Saccharomyces cerevisiae S288C: one gene and its partners. Changing the gene in region 1 together with any one later gene gives a genetic interaction. Each region holds a gene or a part of one and is shown in the gene's direction. Other genes may lie near its edges.

What was found.
Region 2: of GAL7 (region 1) and GRE3, extra expression of one rescues a mutant of the other (dosage rescue), as found in Saccharomyces cerevisiae (one study listed by BioGRID).
Region 3: mutations in GAL7 (region 1) and PMT6 together harm fitness more than expected from each alone (negative genetic interaction), as found in Saccharomyces cerevisiae (2 studies listed by BioGRID).

What each region holds. Positions count from the first base shown.
Region 1 is NC_001134.8:272,490-279,301, reverse strand, and holds GAL7 (UDP-glucose:hexose-1-phosphate uridylyltransferase), read left to right. Parts: upstream 1-3,774; coding exon 3,775-4,875; downstream 4,876-6,812. Other genes in the region: GAL1 (galactokinase), read right to left, coding at 1-281; GAL10 (bifunctional UDP-glucose 4-epimerase/aldose 1-epimerase), read left to right, coding at 950-3,049; KAP104 (Kap104p), read left to right, coding at 5,599-6,812.
Region 2 is NC_001140.6:319,690-326,063, forward strand, and holds GRE3 (trifunctional aldehyde reductase/xylose reductase/glucose 1-dehydrogenase (NADP(+))), read left to right. Parts: upstream 1-3,719; coding exon 3,720-4,703; downstream 4,704-6,374. Other genes in the region: putative serine/threonine protein kinase KIC1, read left to right, coding at 1-125; SBE22 (Sbe22p), read left to right, coding at 725-3,283; YPT35 (Ypt35p), read left to right, coding at 5,077-5,721; thioredoxin-disulfide reductase TRR2, read left to right, coding at 5,909-6,374. UniProt on the Saccharomyces cerevisiae protein: Aldose reductase with a broad substrate specificity. Reduces the cytotoxic compound methylglyoxal (MG) to acetol and (R)-lactaldehyde under stress conditions.
Region 3 is NC_001139.9:892,726-899,548, forward strand, and holds the start of PMT6 (dolichyl-phosphate-mannose-protein mannosyltransferase PMT6), read left to right. Parts: upstream 1-4,776; coding exon 4,777-6,823. Other genes in the region: SNG1 (Sng1p), read right to left, coding at 1-1,415; YPP1 (Ypp1p), read left to right, coding at 1,968-4,421. UniProt on the Saccharomyces cerevisiae protein: Protein O-mannosyltransferase involved in O-glycosylation which is essential for cell wall rigidity. Transfers mannose from Dol-P-mannose to Ser or Thr residues on proteins.

The sequences.
Region 1 (6,812 bases):
ATTAAGGTAATGGATGGATTTTTCTCGTTCAAAACTTTGACGGCGCAAAGCATATCAAAATCAATAGCTAAAGGTAAAACCGAGAAGTCACAATAATCAATATGTTCACCAATTAGATTGACTCTACCAGGCGATCTAGCAACAAAATCCGGTTTAGCATCATAAGCGCTTATAAATTTCTTAATTATGCTCGGGCACTTTTCGGCCAATGGTCTTGGTAATTCCTTTGCGCTAGAATTGAACTCAGGTACAATCACTTCTTCTGAATGAGATTTAGTCATTATAGTTTTTTCTCCTTGACGTTAAAGTATAGAGGTATATTAACAATTTTTTGTTGATACTTTTATGACATTTGAATAAGAAGTAATACAAACTGAAAATGTTGAAAGTATTAGTTAAAGTGGTTATGCAGCTTTTCCATTTATATATCTGTTAATAGATCAAAAATCATCGCTTCGCTGATTAATTACCCCAGAAATAAGGCTAAAAAACTAATCGCATTATCATCCTATGGTTGTTAATTTGATTCGTTAATTTGAAGGTTTGTGGGGCCAGGTTACTGCCAATTTTTCCTCTTCATAACCATAAAAGCTAGTATTGTAGAATCTTTATTGTTCGGAGCAGTGCGGCGCGAGGCACATCTGCGTTTCAGGAACGCGACCGGTGAAGACGAGGACGCACGGAGGAGAGTCTTCCGTCGGAGGGCTGTCGCCCGCTCGGCGGCTTCTAATCCGTACTTCAATATAGCAATGAGCAGTTAAGCGTATTACTGAAAGTTCCAAAGAGAAGGTTTTTTTAGGCTAAGATAATGGGGCTCTTTACATTTCCACAACATATAAGTAAGATTAGATATGGATATGTATATGGTGGTAATGCCATGTAATATGATTATTAAACTTCTTTGCGTCCATCCAAAAAAAAAGTAAGAATTTTTGAAAATTCAATATAAATGACAGCTCAGTTACAAAGTGAAAGTACTTCTAAAATTGTTTTGGTTACAGGTGGTGCTGGATACATTGGTTCACACACTGTGGTAGAGCTAATTGAGAATGGATATGACTGTGTTGTTGCTGATAACCTGTCGAATTCAACTTATGATTCTGTAGCCAGGTTAGAGGTCTTGACCAAGCATCACATTCCCTTCTATGAGGTTGATTTGTGTGACCGAAAAGGTCTGGAAAAGGTTTTCAAAGAATATAAAATTGATTCGGTAATTCACTTTGCTGGTTTAAAGGCTGTAGGTGAATCTACACAAATCCCGCTGAGATACTATCACAATAACATTTTGGGAACTGTCGTTTTATTAGAGTTAATGCAACAATACAACGTTTCCAAATTTGTTTTTTCATCTTCTGCTACTGTCTATGGTGATGCTACGAGATTCCCAAATATGATTCCTATCCCAGAAGAATGTCCCTTAGGGCCTACTAATCCGTATGGTCATACGAAATACGCCATTGAGAATATCTTGAATGATCTTTACAATAGCGACAAAAAAAGTTGGAAGTTTGCTATCTTGCGTTATTTTAACCCAATTGGCGCACATCCCTCTGGATTAATCGGAGAAGATCCGCTAGGTATACCAAACAATTTGTTGCCATATATGGCTCAAGTAGCTGTTGGTAGGCGCGAGAAGCTTTACATCTTCGGAGACGATTATGATTCCAGAGATGGTACCCCGATCAGGGATTATATCCACGTAGTTGATCTAGCAAAAGGTCATATTGCAGCCCTGCAATACCTAGAGGCCTACAATGAAAATGAAGGTTTGTGTCGTGAGTGGAACTTGGGTTCCGGTAAAGGTTCTACAGTTTTTGAAGTTTATCATGCATTCTGCAAAGCTTCTGGTATTGATCTTCCATACAAAGTTACGGGCAGAAGAGCAGGTGATGTTTTGAACTTGACGGCTAAACCAGATAGGGCCAAACGCGAACTGAAATGGCAGACCGAGTTGCAGGTTGAAGACTCCTGCAAGGATTTATGGAAATGGACTACTGAGAATCCTTTTGGTTACCAGTTAAGGGGTGTCGAGGCCAGATTTTCCGCTGAAGATATGCGTTATGACGCAAGATTTGTGACTATTGGTGCCGGCACCAGATTTCAAGCCACGTTTGCCAATTTGGGCGCCAGCATTGTTGACCTGAAAGTGAACGGACAATCAGTTGTTCTTGGCTATGAAAATGAGGAAGGGTATTTGAATCCTGATAGTGCTTATATAGGCGCCACGATCGGCAGGTATGCTAATCGTATTTCGAAGGGTAAGTTTAGTTTATGCAACAAAGACTATCAGTTAACCGTTAATAACGGCGTTAATGCGAATCATAGTAGTATCGGTTCTTTCCACAGAAAAAGATTTTTGGGACCCATCATTCAAAATCCTTCAAAGGATGTTTTTACCGCCGAGTACATGCTGATAGATAATGAGAAGGACACCGAATTTCCAGGTGATCTATTGGTAACCATACAGTATACTGTGAACGTTGCCCAAAAAAGTTTGGAAATGGTATATAAAGGTAAATTGACTGCTGGTGAAGCGACGCCAATAAATTTAACAAATCATAGTTATTTCAATCTGAACAAGCCATATGGAGACACTATTGAGGGTACGGAGATTATGGTGCGTTCAAAAAAATCTGTTGATGTCGACAAAAACATGATTCCTACGGGTAATATCGTCGATAGAGAAATTGCTACCTTTAACTCTACAAAGCCAACGGTCTTAGGCCCCAAAAATCCCCAGTTTGATTGTTGTTTTGTGGTGGATGAAAATGCTAAGCCAAGTCAAATCAATACTCTAAACAATGAATTGACGCTTATTGTCAAGGCTTTTCATCCCGATTCCAATATTACATTAGAAGTTTTAAGTACAGAGCCAACTTATCAATTTTATACCGGTGATTTCTTGTCTGCTGGTTACGAAGCAAGACAAGGTTTTGCAATTGAGCCTGGTAGATACATTGATGCTATCAATCAAGAGAACTGGAAAGATTGTGTAACCTTGAAAAACGGTGAAACTTACGGGTCCAAGATTGTCTACAGATTTTCCTGATTTGCCAGCTTACTATCCTTCTTGAAAATATGCACTCTATATCTTTTAGTTCTTAATTGCAACACATAGATTTGCTGTATAACGAATTTTATGCTATTTTTTAAATTTGGAGTTCAGTGATAAAAGTGTCACAGCGAATTTCCTCACATGTAGGGACCGAATTGTTTACAAGTTCTCTGTACCACCATGGAGACATCAAAAATTGAAAATCTATGGAAAGATATGGACGGTAGCAACAAGAATATAGCACGAGCCGCGGAGTTCATTTCGTTACTTTTGATATCACTCACAACTATTGCGAAGCGCTTCAGTGAAAAAATCATAAGGAAAAGTTGTAAATATTATTGGTAGTATTCGTTTGGTAAAGTAGAGGGGGTAATTTTTCCCCTTTATTTTGTTCATACATTCTTAAATTGCTTTGCCTCTCCTTTTGGAAAGCTATACTTCGGAGCACTGTTGAGCGAAGGCTCATTAGATATATTTTCTGTCATTTTCCTTAACCCAAAAATAAGGGAAAGGGTCCAAAAAGCGCTCGGACAACTGTTGACCGTGATCCGAAGGACTGGCTATACAGTGTTCACAAAATAGCCAAGCTGAAAATAATGTGTAGCTATGTTCAGTTAGTTTGGCTAGCAAAGATATAAAAGCAGGTCGGAAATATTTATGGGCATTATTATGCAGAGCATCAACATGATAAAAAAAAACAGTTGAATATTCCCTCAAAAATGACTGCTGAAGAATTTGATTTTTCTAGCCATTCCCATAGACGTTACAATCCACTAACCGATTCATGGATCTTAGTTTCTCCACACAGAGCTAAAAGACCTTGGTTAGGTCAACAGGAGGCTGCTTACAAGCCCACAGCTCCATTGTATGATCCAAAATGCTATCTATGTCCTGGTAACAAAAGAGCTACTGGTAACCTAAACCCAAGATATGAATCAACGTATATTTTCCCCAATGATTATGCTGCCGTTAGGCTCGATCAACCTATTTTACCACAGAATGATTCCAATGAGGATAATCTTAAAAATAGGCTGCTTAAAGTGCAATCTGTGAGAGGCAATTGTTTCGTCATATGTTTTAGCCCCAATCATAATCTAACCATTCCACAAATGAAACAATCAGATCTGGTTCATATTGTTAATTCTTGGCAAGCATTGACTGACGATCTCTCCAGAGAAGCAAGAGAAAATCATAAGCCTTTCAAATATGTCCAAATATTTGAAAACAAAGGTACAGCCATGGGTTGTTCCAACTTACATCCACATGGCCAAGCTTGGTGCTTAGAATCCATCCCTAGTGAAGTTTCGCAAGAATTGAAATCTTTTGATAAATATAAACGTGAACACAATACTGATTTGTTTGCCGATTACGTCAAATTAGAATCAAGAGAGAAGTCAAGAGTCGTAGTGGAGAATGAATCCTTTATTGTTGTTGTTCCATACTGGGCCATCTGGCCATTTGAGACCTTGGTCATTTCAAAGAAGAAGCTTGCCTCAATTAGCCAATTTAACCAAATGGTGAAGGAGGACCTCGCCTCGATTTTAAAGCAACTAACTATTAAGTATGATAATTTATTTGAAACGAGTTTCCCATACTCAATGGGTATCCATCAGGCTCCTTTGAATGCGACTGGTGATGAATTGAGTAATAGTTGGTTTCACATGCATTTCTACCCACCTTTACTGAGATCAGCTACTGTTCGGAAATTCTTGGTTGGTTTTGAATTGTTAGGTGAGCCTCAAAGAGATTTAACTTCGGAACAAGCTGCTGAAAAACTAAGAAATTTAGATGGTCAGATTCATTATCTACAAAGACTGTAAAAAGAAAGTGGAATATTCATTCATATCATATTTTTTCTATTAACTGCCTGGTTTCTTTTAAATTTTTTATTGGTTGTCGACTTGAACGGAGTGACAATATATATATATATATATTTAATAATGACATCATTATCTGTAAATCTGATTCTTAATGCTATTCTAGTTATGTAAGAGTGGTCCTTTCCATAAAAAAAAAAAAAAAGAAAAAAGAATTTTAGGAATACAATGCAGCTTGTAAGTAAAATCTGGAATATTCATATCGCCACAACTTCTTATGCTTATAAAAGCACTAATGCCTGAATTTATGTTGAAAATATGTGTCACAAATAAAGAAACTGTGACATCTGACACATTTCCACTTTATTGACAAGAATAGAATTTCTTTAAGTTTCCCCTCTAGATTATTTATTTTCAAATTTTAGGCTCTGTTGAAGTTTATTACGTAGAAATTCCTACGATAGTTATTAGTCCTAATTGGATGTTGCAGCAAGGCTCATTGTCGGTGTCGTTATCGATGGAAATCCTGCACCTATGTTATTACCCTCTTTTCGTAGTTTTCTGATCCGGGTTATAGAGTTTTGCTTAAAAAAAGGTTATGTTTAAAAGTATGAAAAACTTTTCAGTATTAATTATGCAGAAGAGCAGTGAATAGTAATAATACATATCAGAATATTCCGCAGTCTTTGGTTTTCAGAATTGTTAGCAGTAGTTAAGTGAATAAAGATGGCATCGACATGGAAGCCCGCCGAAGACTATGTGTTGCAACTAGCAACTCTTTTACAGAACTGTATGTCACCAAATCCAGAGATTCGTAATAACGCAATGGAAGCTATGGAGAACTTCCAGCTGCAACCTGAATTTCTCAATTATTTGTGTTATATTTTAATTGAAGGCGAATCTGATGATGTATTGAAGCAACACTACTCCCTACAGGATCTTCAGAACAATAGAGCTACCGCCGGTATGCTGTTGAAAAATTCAATGCTAGGGGGAAACAATTTAATTAAGAGCAATAGCCACGACTTAGGATACGTCAAATCAAACATTATACATGGCCTTTATAATTCGAACAATAATCTCGTTTCGAACGTGACAGGTATCGTTATTACTACTTTATTTTCCACTTACTATAGGCAGCATAGAGATGATCCAACTGGTCTTCAAATGCTTTACCAGTTGCTAGAGCTAACCTCAAATGGAAATGAGCCAAGTATTAAGGCTTTATCTAAGATCATGGAAGACAGCGCTCAATTTTTCCAATTGGAATGGTCGGGAAATACGAAGCCTATGGAAGCCTTATTGGATAGTTTTTTTAGGTTTATTTCGAATCCAAATTTCTCACCTGTGATTCGCTCAGAATCGGTGAAATGTATAAATACAGTGATCCCGCTACAAACACAAAGTTTTATTGTGAGATTAGATAAATTCTTAGAAATTATTTTTCAGTTGGCACAAAACGACGAAAACGACCTAGTTAGGGCACAGATTTGCATTAGTTTTAGTTTCTTATTGGAATTCAGACCAGATAAGCTGGTTTCCCATTTAGATGGTATTGTACAATTCATGTTGCATTTGATCACCACTGTAAATGAGGAAAAAGTGGCTATTGAAGCCTGCGAGTTTTTGCACGCCTTTGCAACGAGCCCAAATATTCCTGAACATATCTTACAACCATATGTTAAGGATATCGTGCCAATATTATTATCGAAAATGGTCTATAACGAAGAATCCATCGTTCTCCTGGAAGCTTCTAATGATGATGATGCATTCTTGGAGGATAAAGATGAGGACATCAAGCCCATTGCACCCCGTATTGTGAAAAAGAAAGAGGCAGGAAATGGAGAGGATGCAGATGACAACGAAGATGATGATGATGATGATGATGATGAAGATGGCGATGTTGATACGCAATGGAATTTGAGAAAATGTTCCGCGGC
Region 2 (6,374 bases), on another chromosome or scaffold:
GGAAACCCCAGGTTCTGAAAGAACTGGAAAATCTTTTACAAATGTTCGAAGAAGGTTTGCCCTGCATTGAACACGCTTTAAAGGAACAACTTATTTCAACGCCTATCAAGGATAATGAGCATTAAAAGCATCGTCTAGTTTATTCTTTTGTTTATGTACATATTCAAGAAAAATAAGCAAGATGTAAGAAAAGTGAAAGTATATATTTTCTACAGAACTTAACAAGTCCCTTTAAGCACCACATGGAACTCGACTGCGCAAGGTTAGCGCTTTACGGACTTTATTGCTATTCTAGTTCAAAGAAAGCAAATGGCGCAGTTACCAAACCTCGCCATTTGTTTTTTCCGTTATTTTTTCTTCTTATAAACGCGCCTAGAAGAAAAAACCGTGCGAAGCGCAAATCCTGAGAAAGCGCTAAGGAGGTTTCAACCAATGTTTACCACTTGAAATTTTAGCATTCTCATCACTGTAAGAGAGATAATTATCCTGTAAACATTCCAAAATACCTTTTGTAACGCTGATTGTTGTATTTGTTACCCCAGAATTGCCATATATAGTGGAGAAGAAATCGAAAAGGTCATATACAGCAGAACCAAAAAAAATAATACATTCGTTGATCCTTTACCGTTTTCAAGAGTGAAACGTGATCGTGTTTATACTTTTTCGACTCAAATTTGTCCTTATCTTTAGTTAATACGGTCTAACTTGCCACGCTACTCAAGAAATGACCTCGATTCAGGAGCGAGGCACAAGCGCTCATCTGCATTCGCTTAAAGAAGGTGAGGCTAGTGATCGTTCCAGCGAGATGCTTCCTAAACAAAGAAGTATCATAGGATCCCACGTGCAACGTCCACCGTCTCAAACAACTTTAGGAAGGTCAAGGGCTGGAAGCAATACAATGAATAAAGTTTCAGGCTTAGATATTGCTCGAAGACCAAGTGAGAATTTATTATCAAACATGAACTGTAGCGACAACGGCAATGGGGGAAATATGCTAAATTCATTCGTTAACTCGGCTTTACCACCGCCAAAAGTCAACCCTGCTCAAACAAGACGTGAACGTCCCGCTTCAAATAGCTCAATAGGTACCAAGACTACCGAGGTATTTTCATCCACTTCTGCATCTTCCTCCTTGGGAGATACCAGCGATGAGGGAGAAGGCAGTGATGCCGACAAATCTAAAATAAATACTTTTCCCAGCATATTGATGGAAAAGGCTACTCAAGGTAGAGGCGCTGATGGAAATGGAATGAGAAGCGCAAGCAATAATACCATTGTGGAAGCAACTACGGACGGTTCCAAAATGGCACTGCAAAAAAGCATGTCGTTTGATGATACAGCCGCAGAGAAAACTATGAATAAATCTAGACATTCTTACCAAGAACAGTTCTCCTCGAAGAAAAGCCAGTCATCTTTACTGAACAGCAAGCAAAGATCACGTGCTAAATCGCAAACATGCTCGTCTACGGGTTATAACAACAGCAGCATTCTGAAAACGTTTGGCATAAGCTCCAAAATTTCTAATTCAAGTGATCGGATAGAGGCTTCGTCATTAGAATTTAACGTTCCATCTCAGAAACCTTTGAATTGCAAGCCATTAACTCCGTCTCAGAAATACAGACTTCGTAAAGAGCAATCGGAGATGAATTTAAGAAATACAATCAAAAGAAAAGAGAAATTTTATGATAGTCAAGAACAAATTCTTGAGTTACAAGAGGGAGACGTTGATGATTCGTTGATTTGGAACGTTCCTATGGCATCATTATCTACTAATTCATTTCTAGCGTCTGCTAAGCCCGATGATATGAATAACTTGGCTGGCAAGAATGACTTATCAGAATATACCGGAGGTTTGGTAAATGATAACTCTGAAATTTCTTATACAAAACAAAATCATAGGTACTCGAACATCTCTTTTGCGAGTACAACATCAAACGCCTCATTATTGGACTTTAATGAGATGCCTACGTCTCCGATTCCAGGTTTGAACAAAGTAACTGATTTTCAGTTCATTCAAGACACAACCAAGAGTCTAGCCTCTGTTTATTTGCATTCTTCCAATAGGCTTTCAAGATCTAAGCTGTCCGAAAGAACAAAGTCTTCCGATTTCTTGCCAATTGAACTAAAAGAAGCTCAAAATCAAGGCATGGAAGATTTGATACTTGTCTCGGAGAACAAACTAGATGTGGTCAGCCATTCAAGACCGAGTTGGTTACCACCCAAGGATCGCCAGGAAAAAAAGCTTCATGAAAGGCAAATTAACAAAAGCATGAGTGTTGCTTCCCTTGACCAACTAGGAAAAAATAAAGACAGAGAAGAAAAGTTGATTAGAGATGAAACAAATAGGCAAAAATATGTGTTATTATTGGACAGAGATATAACTAGAAACTCCTCCTTACAAAGCCTAAGTAAAATGGTTTGGGACACTCCATTTAGTGACGAAACTAGGTCAACAATTTACAGCGAAATTTTACAGAGCAAGACTAGGTTTATTACCAAAAACTATATTCAACCATTTCATGAGCTACAGGAGCTTTTAACAAAAATGGGAGACTTTCCTAAAAACAAGGAAATTGAAATATCGCAGCTAATCGAAACAAGTTTGAGGCGAAAAGTGAGCGGTTTACATGATATATGTCCTGATTTGATGCTTTTATTGAAGATAAAATCTATCTCATCACAGGGTATAGTCACCGGTGATGAACTCCTTTTCCATCATTTCTTGGTGAGTGAATCATTTCAGAACCTGGGGCTAAACGAGATTTGGAATATTGTTAATTTAGTACAAATGACGTGTTTTAATGATCTTTGTAAAGAAAAGTTCGATGCAAAGGTTTTAGAACGTAAGGGTGTCGTAGCCGGTTATTTATCGCAAAACGAGGAGTTCAAGGATGAATTTAATACGGAGTGTATAAACTCTACCACCTGGTGGAACATCCTAGAACGTATTGATCATAAGCTTTTTATGTGGATCATGGATATTATAGTAGTCAACAATTCCCAGAGCTACAAAAATAGCCCAATCAACGAAGATGAGTTTGTTAACAAGGATTGGGAATATTACCGCTCGAAGAAAGTGGTAATAAACTACAAGATCTTGATTTCATTTGCATTAAATGTATTGTTAAATTACCACTTTGGATTCACTGATTTAAGAAGTCTTTGTAACGTGAATGACCAGAGATTTTGCATTCCAGTATTCATCAATGATGAATTCGTAGACGCAGATACTGTAAATGCCGTGTTCATCAAGAAATGGGCGCATTACTACAAGAAGTTTTGATATTTTTTGTAACTGTAATTTCACTCATGCACAAGAAAAAAAAAACTGGATTAAAAGGGAGCCCAAGGAAAACTCCTCAGCATATATTTAGAAGTCTCCTCAGCATATAGTTGTTTGTTTTCTTTACACATTCACTGTTTAATAAAACTTTTATAATATTTCATTATCGGAACTCTAGATTCTATACTTGTTTCCCAATTGTTGCTGGTAGTAAACGTATACGTCATAAAAGGGAAAAGCCACATGCGGAAGAATTTTATGGAAAAAAAAAAAACCTCGAAGTTACTACTTCTAGGGGGCCTATCAAGTAAATTACTCCTGGTACACTGAAGTATATAAGGGATATAGAAGCAAATAGTTGTCAGTGCAATCCTTCAAGACGATTGGGAAAATACTGTAATATAAATCGTAAAGGAAAATTGGAAATTTTTTAAAGATGTCTTCACTGGTTACTCTTAATAACGGTCTGAAAATGCCCCTAGTCGGCTTAGGGTGCTGGAAAATTGACAAAAAAGTCTGTGCGAATCAAATTTATGAAGCTATCAAATTAGGCTACCGTTTATTCGATGGTGCTTGCGACTACGGCAACGAAAAGGAAGTTGGTGAAGGTATCAGGAAAGCCATCTCCGAAGGTCTTGTTTCTAGAAAGGATATATTTGTTGTTTCAAAGTTATGGAACAATTTTCACCATCCTGATCATGTAAAATTAGCTTTAAAGAAGACCTTAAGCGATATGGGACTTGATTATTTAGACCTGTATTATATTCACTTCCCAATCGCCTTCAAATATGTTCCATTTGAAGAGAAATACCCTCCAGGATTCTATACGGGCGCAGATGACGAGAAGAAAGGTCACATCACCGAAGCACATGTACCAATCATAGATACGTACCGGGCTCTGGAAGAATGTGTTGATGAAGGCTTGATTAAGTCTATTGGTGTTTCCAACTTTCAGGGAAGCTTGATTCAAGATTTATTACGTGGTTGTAGAATCAAGCCCGTGGCTTTGCAAATTGAACACCATCCTTATTTGACTCAAGAACACCTAGTTGAGTTTTGTAAATTACACGATATCCAAGTAGTTGCTTACTCCTCCTTCGGTCCTCAATCATTCATTGAGATGGACTTACAGTTGGCAAAAACCACGCCAACTCTGTTCGAGAATGATGTAATCAAGAAGGTCTCACAAAACCATCCAGGCAGTACCACTTCCCAAGTATTGCTTAGATGGGCAACTCAGAGAGGCATTGCCGTCATTCCAAAATCTTCCAAGAAGGAAAGGTTACTTGGCAACCTAGAAATCGAAAAAAAGTTCACTTTAACGGAGCAAGAATTGAAGGATATTTCTGCACTAAATGCCAACATCAGATTTAATGATCCATGGACCTGGTTGGATGGTAAATTCCCCACTTTTGCCTGATCCAGCCAGTAAAATCCATACTCAACGACGATATGAACAAATTTCCCTCATTCCGATGCTGTATATGTGTATAAATTTTTACATGCTCTTCTGTTTAGACACAGAACAGCTTTAAATAAAATGTTGGATATACTTTTTCTGCCTGTGGTGTCATCCACGCTTTTAATTCATCTCTTGTATGGTTGACAATTTGGCTATTTTTTAACAGAACCCAACGGTAATTGAAATTAAAAGGGAAACGAGTGGGGGCGATGAGTGAGTGATACTAAAATAGACACCAAGAGAGCAAAGCGGTCCCAAAATCATTTGAGTAACCGGATATCTATCGGGATATTAATAGCAGCTTCCATTTCAACTAAAACAACAGCAAGATATGAGCGACAAGATATCCTTTCTACCTCCCGAACCCATCCAACTACTTGACGAAGACTCCACGGAGCCTGAACTCGACATTGACTCACAACAAGAAAATGAGGGACCCATCAGTGCGTCAAACAGCAATGATAGCACTAGCCATAGTAATGATTGCGGTGCCACAATTACCAGAACAAGACCTAGACGAAGCAGTTCTATCAATGCAAACTTTAGTTTTCAAAAGGCTCATGTCAGCGATTGCACCATAGTCAATGGCGACCATGGAACAAAGTTTGCTGTCTGGAGAATTACCGTATTTCTTGAACCCAACTTGAAGGCTTTTGCGGCCAAGAGGGAAAGCTATAAAATCCAAACCTATAAACGATACTCCGATTTCGTCAGATTACGAGAGAATTTGCTCACAAGAATCAAGACAGCGAAACCTGAGAAACTTAACTGTTTGCAGATTCCACACCTTCCCCCTTCAGTGCAGTGGTACAGTTCTTGGAAATATCAAGAAGTGAATCTGAACAAGGACTGGCTGGCAAAAAGACAGAGAGGGCTCGAGTACTTCCTCAATCACATCATCCTTAACAGCAGCCTCGTAGAAATGACCAAAGATATACTCATACAGTTTCTAGAGCCTTCAAAACGAGTTGCATAGCTCACCATCCCTATCCAACCGACTATTCTTCTCATCGACTACTACTATCCCATTTAACTCGGGCGCGTTGTTAATTAATCACTCGATGGGGAATGCCTTGAGCTGACCGCAATGAAAACTTTTAGGGGATCGTCCAACATTAAAGGAAGAACGAAACGGACTCCACAGTTTCTAATATAAATAAACAATGATAAAACATATAGTTTCGCCATTCAGGACGAATTTTGTTGGCATCAGCAAGTCCGTGCTGTCAAGGATGATTCATCACAAGGTTACAATCATAGGTTCTGGCCCCGCTGCCCACACCGCTGCTATATACTTGGCAAGAGCAGAGATGAAGCCCACATTATATGAGGGAATGATGGCCAACGGAATTGCTGCTGGTGGCCAATTGACAACAACCACCGATATCGAAAATTTCCCAGGGTTTCCTGAATCGTTGAGTGGCAGTGAACTGATGGAGAGGATGAGGAAACAATCTGCCAAGTTTGGCACTAACATAATTACCGAGACTGTCTCTAAAGTCGATTTATCTTCAAAACCATTCAGATTATGGACCGAATTTAATGAGGATGCAGAGCCTGTGACCACTGATGCTATAATCTTGGCCACGGGTGCTTCCGCTAAGAGAATGCATTTACCAGGGGAGGAAA
Region 3 (6,823 bases), on another chromosome or scaffold:
ACTTTATAGATATCCACGGCATTATGGATTGGCATTATGTAGCCGTACCTGTAAAATTCGTTGTTCAAAACCATTGGGTAGAATGAAGCAGAAATATTTAATATGATCCACGTCATCAACCAAATACTCAGGTATGGAGGGCAGTAAGCTATAACTAAGCTGAGAACGTTTTCATTGGCACCACCAACAGCCATCATTACCAACCACGTAGACATCCAATATACTACGAATCCTCCTCTGCCAAAGGCGGGGGTGAAATCGATCCTAAAAATTGCAGATACGGTACAGAATCCAATGGAAAGAAGAAAATAAGTTGCCCAGGAAATTAGAAGCCTGTAGATTAAAATATGCTTTGGCTTCAGAACTCTGGCCATTTCTCCGTGCAACTTACCATATAATGACAGTTGTAAAACGGTTAACAAAATACAATAAATCAGACCGACCTGCAGAGGGGCCATTAGAATACGATCAGCAAAGGGACGATAATCGTTGTAGGTGAACAACAACTGTCCTGCAATCGCCCAGTTCTCCATGTTTATATTAAGATCTCTGTCATTAGAAGTGATGTTGCTCATCAATGAGGGAAGATATTCCTTGACGTAATATTTCTGAAGGCGGACCTCCAATTGTTGCATGAGTGGTAGAATGGTCGATTTAACACTCGATGGGTCACGACCACTTTCAAACACGGATTCAAAAAAAATTGATGAATTGAACTCCGAGTTTGCGTCTTGGCTAATCAAAGAATTATACAAAGTGTCTGTAGCATTAGGTTTAACGTTTAACGCCAGCCAGTATCTCTCATCGTAAATTAAATCGACTATCTTTCTGTCAATTTCGGTGGAGTTCGTCGTACCAAATTTCCTATGAAATGATGTTGCGTTGTATATATGCCATGTCCCGGGGACAGACGCTAACAATGAGGGTATGATCGCGGAAATAGATTGAACTGAAGTATTAGATGGCGCATCCTGCAATACAACAATATTTTTCACTTTGAAAAAGTAACGATCTGTTCCGTAACAGGCACCCCAGTAAATCGATATGAGCGATACACACACACAAGCAATGAAGAAGTTGTTCAAAACAAACTTCGAGAGAATCTTTTTCCTATGATTTCGCAGTCTTGGAGAAAAAAGCCCTGTTTGAATTCTTGCCAAGGGACCGCCGTCGTTACCGCCCTTCTCTTCCTCATTAGCGCCACCTTCCCCCACAGATGACAATGAGGACGGCTTTTCATCAGGAGGCCGATAGTCTTCTAATGACTTTGCTAAGTCAGAAGAATGGCCGGAACCCTCAGCAAATCGCTGATTACTGTACGAAACCCCGTCCCTGCCGCCAGTAAATGCAGCTGCTGCTGCAAAACTAGGGTCCTCAATGTACTGTGACTCTTCATCACCAACCGATTTAGTCATATTTGTTCTCTGTACGGCTACTTACACTTATGTCAGTACCCGATTCTTACGGCGTATAAAAGATTAAAGAAACAGGATATGTGGCTTGATATATACAAAAAAAAAGAACGATATGGAGTACACTATGTATCTCTCAACAATGCTAAGATATGAAGACGCTTATTGACTACGCCAGTCCGTTTTCCATTCCCTTCTTCGAATAGGGTGGCCCGTTGATGACAAAGCTGCGAGTCATCTATCATCAAACAAACTCACGGCTTTCGCTTTTCTTTAGTCTATTTCGGATTGTACCACCTCCTCGGACATTCATAAAAGGATTCGAAAACGAATAACCACGCATATACACGGAAATAGGAGAAAACTAAACGGGAATCGGTTTATTTTTTTCTCAACATTTCTTTTTCCTGATTTTCCATCCTTTTCGAGATCCACCTATTGTGGTGAAAAATAACGAAAATATGTGCTTTAGGTGTGCAAGGCATAATGTGTGGCATACTGGAAGGAACAAGTTGAACACGCCAGCTGGAAAGAAGTTCAATACCAACTTGCCCAATGCCTAACTCAAATGTTCGGATTCCTCCTACTGTTCCATCGAAGATAATAGATGTGGTCGACCAAGCGCTAAGAGCGCGACTCTTAGGTGGCAGCACCTTCAATTCAGGGTTTGATAGTTTAGATTCCGTACTTAACTTACAGTTTAGACTACATTACCATGTTATTGGATCGAATGGGCCTGCAAAACCAGTTTGTGATGTTTTACTGAAGGAAAGTCAAAATTTAGAAAAGAATATGAGTATGATGGAGGAGTTGAATGACTATCCGGAGATTACAAAACTAGTGGAGAAAATTCTGTTCAATTGCCTCGGTATTCTTTTCTTCCACAGGGGCCAATTTCAGGAATCGCAGCGGTGCTTGCTGCACTCGTTGAAAATTCATAATAACACTGCATCGCAAAAAACAGCACTTATGGAGCAGTATGATAGGTATTTGATCGTAGAAAACCTGTACTACCGTGGTCTAGTTTCGCAAGACATAAATATCATGCAAAATGTTTTTTACAAAGAACTACTGGCCCACGTGGATACGATCCCTCCCGAATCAAACGGTCTTCTTTTCGAATACATCAGCTTGATCGTCGCAAAACTCAGGTTCAATCAAATTCAGGATTTAGCAGAAAATTTTAAAACTACCGTCGAAAATCCTTTTATTCTTTTCCTTTACATGATAAAGAAGTTCCAGTCACCTCTCAAAAAGCACATTGATAATGATGATCTTTATTTGAAGTTCGGACAGAACGTTTTGTTGAAGGCCAAATTTCCTACTGCTAGTGAGACAAATGATGAAGCTTTGGAGCATTTTAATGTCTTTTTGCAGTATTATTTCAAATTCACTCACATAAAAAAAATAAAAGTGAATCCCAGTTGGTATAATTTCATAATATCTTCAATGGAAAAGACTTTTCAAAGTATTGAAGTTTCGAAAACAGCAATGTTTCTTTTCCAAAACCTAAGCGATAACAGTAATGACGAAATAAAGAAGAAGACATTTAAAAGAGAATCTATACTAAATTTTGTTAATTTTGTGAAATACAACGACAAGTACTATCAACTGCACGATAACTCCCACCGTGACATAATTTCATTCATTGATGCGTATTCTTTTATTTTACAAAACTCCTCCAAAACCGATTCAATCGAAAATGTTTTTGATTACGATAATACGGTATCTACGTTTGCGACTTCCTTGAATTCCTTCTACAAAGAATATAATTTGCCATTAATGAGCCAATCAGAATCTTTAGATTGGCTAGAAAACAGCACCAGATGTGTATACCCAGGAAACATTTCGAAAGTTCTAACAAATGCGTGGTCAACATTGTACGAAATCAGAAAATATCAGTTAGATTTTCTTGTATCTAATAATTTGACTTCATATCTATGTAATGCAATGATGCTGTCCACAAAAGAAAAAGACAATGCTGATGTAGAAGAGCAGGAAGAAGGAGAGGAGGAGAAGGCATTACGTGAATTACAATTTAAATATTCTTACACTCTAGCACAACAGAGGCACATTGAAACTGCAATCAAGACTCTAGAATCATTGATATTAAGTAAAAACCCAAATTACTACAAAGCTTGGCATCTATTAGCTCTTTGTAGGTCTGTGCAAGAGGATAAGGAAATGTCGTACAAGATAGTTTGCTCTGTTCTAGAAGCTATGAATGAAAGTCTTCAGAACAATACTTTACTTCTGAATGATAGATGGCAATTTATTCACCTAAAATTAACGCAATTGGCGCTAATTGAAGAAATTTTTGGCACTTTAGAGGCACTGGAGACACTTCCAGAGGTCTTTGAATTATACGCAACATTATTTCCAGATTCACAACCTGAATTGAACAGCATGGGTCCCAAATATTCTCAAACTAAAGAATATCTTTTACAAATGGTGTGGATTTTTGCTGCAAATATGTACATGAGAACAAAAGACAATGATGAGGATGCCAAGGCCGCCATCAAAGAAGCCTCCAATGTCGAAAGTAAATTCAAGAATTTAAATTGTAATATTGCTAACGGTTATTTATCAATAATAAAAGATGAACCAGGCGTGGCATTAAAGGAATTTGAAACAGTTCTGTACTATGATGAGAATAATTTAGATGCCTTGGTCGGATTCGCTGAATTAATTTTCCCTGAAGAACTAGGCGTCGAGGAAACTAATCTTGAGCGTTATTATACTCTCAGCCTTGATAAAAAACCAGGTAAGAGGGCCAAACTTACGTTCGTTAATGACACAGATAGGTCAGCAGCGTATGCAAGACTAAAATTTCTATTGGAGTGCGCAATACTAGAATCGATCGAGGCTTACTATTCCCCAGAAGTTTGGTGGTATTTGTCCCTCATTTACGAGAAATATCAAGATGACGAGTACAAAAACTCTTTGCTAAAATGTATTAAATACCAAGAGTTGAATCCCATTCGCTCCCTAAGGTATTGCAATTACTAACGATAATTCTTCTGATATATACACACACATATATACATATGGGCGCAAGTATATTCTGGTGTAAAGATACTCATAGAAAGCATAAAGATGTAATTCAATCTAGTTGTATTATATTATTCATTGATTTATATTAATTTGATGAACAATGGAACATCTTCTCTTCAATAACGGTTTTGCCCATATACTTGACGTTATTAGGTTACCCGTTTTTATAAATGTAATAAGTTCAATAATTTGAAAAGAGCATTAGCTATAGTCACGTTTCGCGTTGAAACAATTCTTTAAATTATCTTCTCTTGGCAGTTTAATATACCAAACGATAGTCCTAACATACTGTTTTTCTTATTATTTACCAATGAGTAAAGCCAAGGGAACGGGATTTTCATCAATTGATACTGAAGATGAAAACTTACGCGAACGTTATGTTAATCAACCAAAAGCTAATGCCTCCGATATTCAAGATGAACAATTAGATTGCTTTGAGCAACTAGAAGAAAAACATAGGACAAAAAAAAATGAAGAATACACTGCGTTGAAAATTTTAAGGGATGTCATAGGTCCCCTTTTATTAACTATAACTTCGTTTTATCTAAGATTCCAACATATAGATCAGAACAATTATGTTGTCTGGGATGAGGCTCATTTTGGGAAATTCGGATCATACTACATCAAACATGAGTACTACCACGATGTCCACCCTCCACTTGGTAAAATGCTTATTGCATTGAGCGAATGGATGGCAGGATTTGACGGTCAATTTGACTTTTCCTCTAATAATGCATATCCGGAAAACGTAAACTTTAAACTAATGAGACAATTTAATGCCACATTTGGAGCTCTATGTACACCAGTAGCTTTCTTTACAGCCAAATGGATGGGGTTCAATTATTTTACTGTTTATTTGATTGCTACGATGGTAACGTTGGAACATTCATATATTGTCCTCTCAAAATTCATATTGCTAGATTCAATGCTGCTTTTTTTCTCGATGACGACTTTTGCCTGTATGATAAAGTTGTATACGTTGAGAAAGCAACAAATGACGAAAAAATGGTCGTTATGGATGTTATTAACTGGTTTATCTATTGGTTGCGTTTGTTCTGTGAAATGGGTTGGTCTTTTTATCACAGTTGTAGTCGGCCTCTACACATGTATAGAACTATTTTTGCTCTATTGTGATAAAGAATTGCCTAGAATAAAATATTACAAACATTGGCTTATCAGAATCATTAATCTGATAGTAATTCCTTTTCTTATCTATCTCTATTGCTTCAAAATTCACTTTGTGTTGTTGTACAAATCTGGCACGGGGGATTCTACTACAAATACGTTATTTCAGATAAACTTGGAGGGAACTCAGATTGAGGCGGGTCCTCGTGATGTAGCATTTGGGTCAGAGTTAACCATAAGGTCGCATGGTTTAAGCCCGAATCTGCTGCATTCACATATTCAAGTATACCCAGAAGGCTCTGGACAGCGCCAAATCACTGGATATGGATTCGCAGACTCTAATAATGTTTGGAAGTTTGAATTTTCTAGGTCTTCTGGATTGGAACTAGATCAGAACGGGACTTTGAATGGCAAAATAATCCCAATAACGGATGGTGTGGAAGTTCGTCTCAGCCATAAAAATACAGGATCGAATCTTCACTCGCATGATGTACCTTCTCACGTCTCTAGAGGAAATTATGAGGTTTCAGGCTATGGGTCACAAAGTGTTGGCGATGAAAAGGATGATTGGATAGTGGAGATTGTGAAACAAATGGATTCACCAAATCCCGTCTATTCTAATGAGAATTCAACTATTTTACATCCAGTTTCTACTTTCTTCAGGTTGAGACACAAAGTTTTAGGTTGTTACTTGGCTTCTACTGGATTGACGTATCCAGCTTGGGGATTTAAACAAGCTGAAATCGTCTGCAAAGACTCCTGGAGTCGTAGGGACAAATCGACCTGGTGGAATGTAGAAGATCACTGGAACCACAATTTAGAAACCGCAGAAGATTACGTTCCACCAAAATCCAATTTTTGGACCGATTTTATTCTAACTAATTTTGCCATGGCCTCCTCTAATAACGCGTTAGTGCCTGATGAGGATAAATATGATAGTTTATCGTCTGATGCATGGGAATGGCCAACCTTGCATAAAGGGCTAAGAATGTGTTCATGGGCGGGATATATCACTCGATATTACTTGATGGGATCTCCCTTCAATACATGGATTTCTACTGTCTCCTTAATCATCTTCCCATTTATTATTCTTTTTATATTATATCGTTGGAGGAGACAAACGCTTTATCTCTCAGACGATCAAATCTGGCAAATAACGATACAGGGTATTTTTCCTTTCATTTCCTGGATGACACATTATCTGCCTTTTGCAATGATGGGGAGAGTGACGT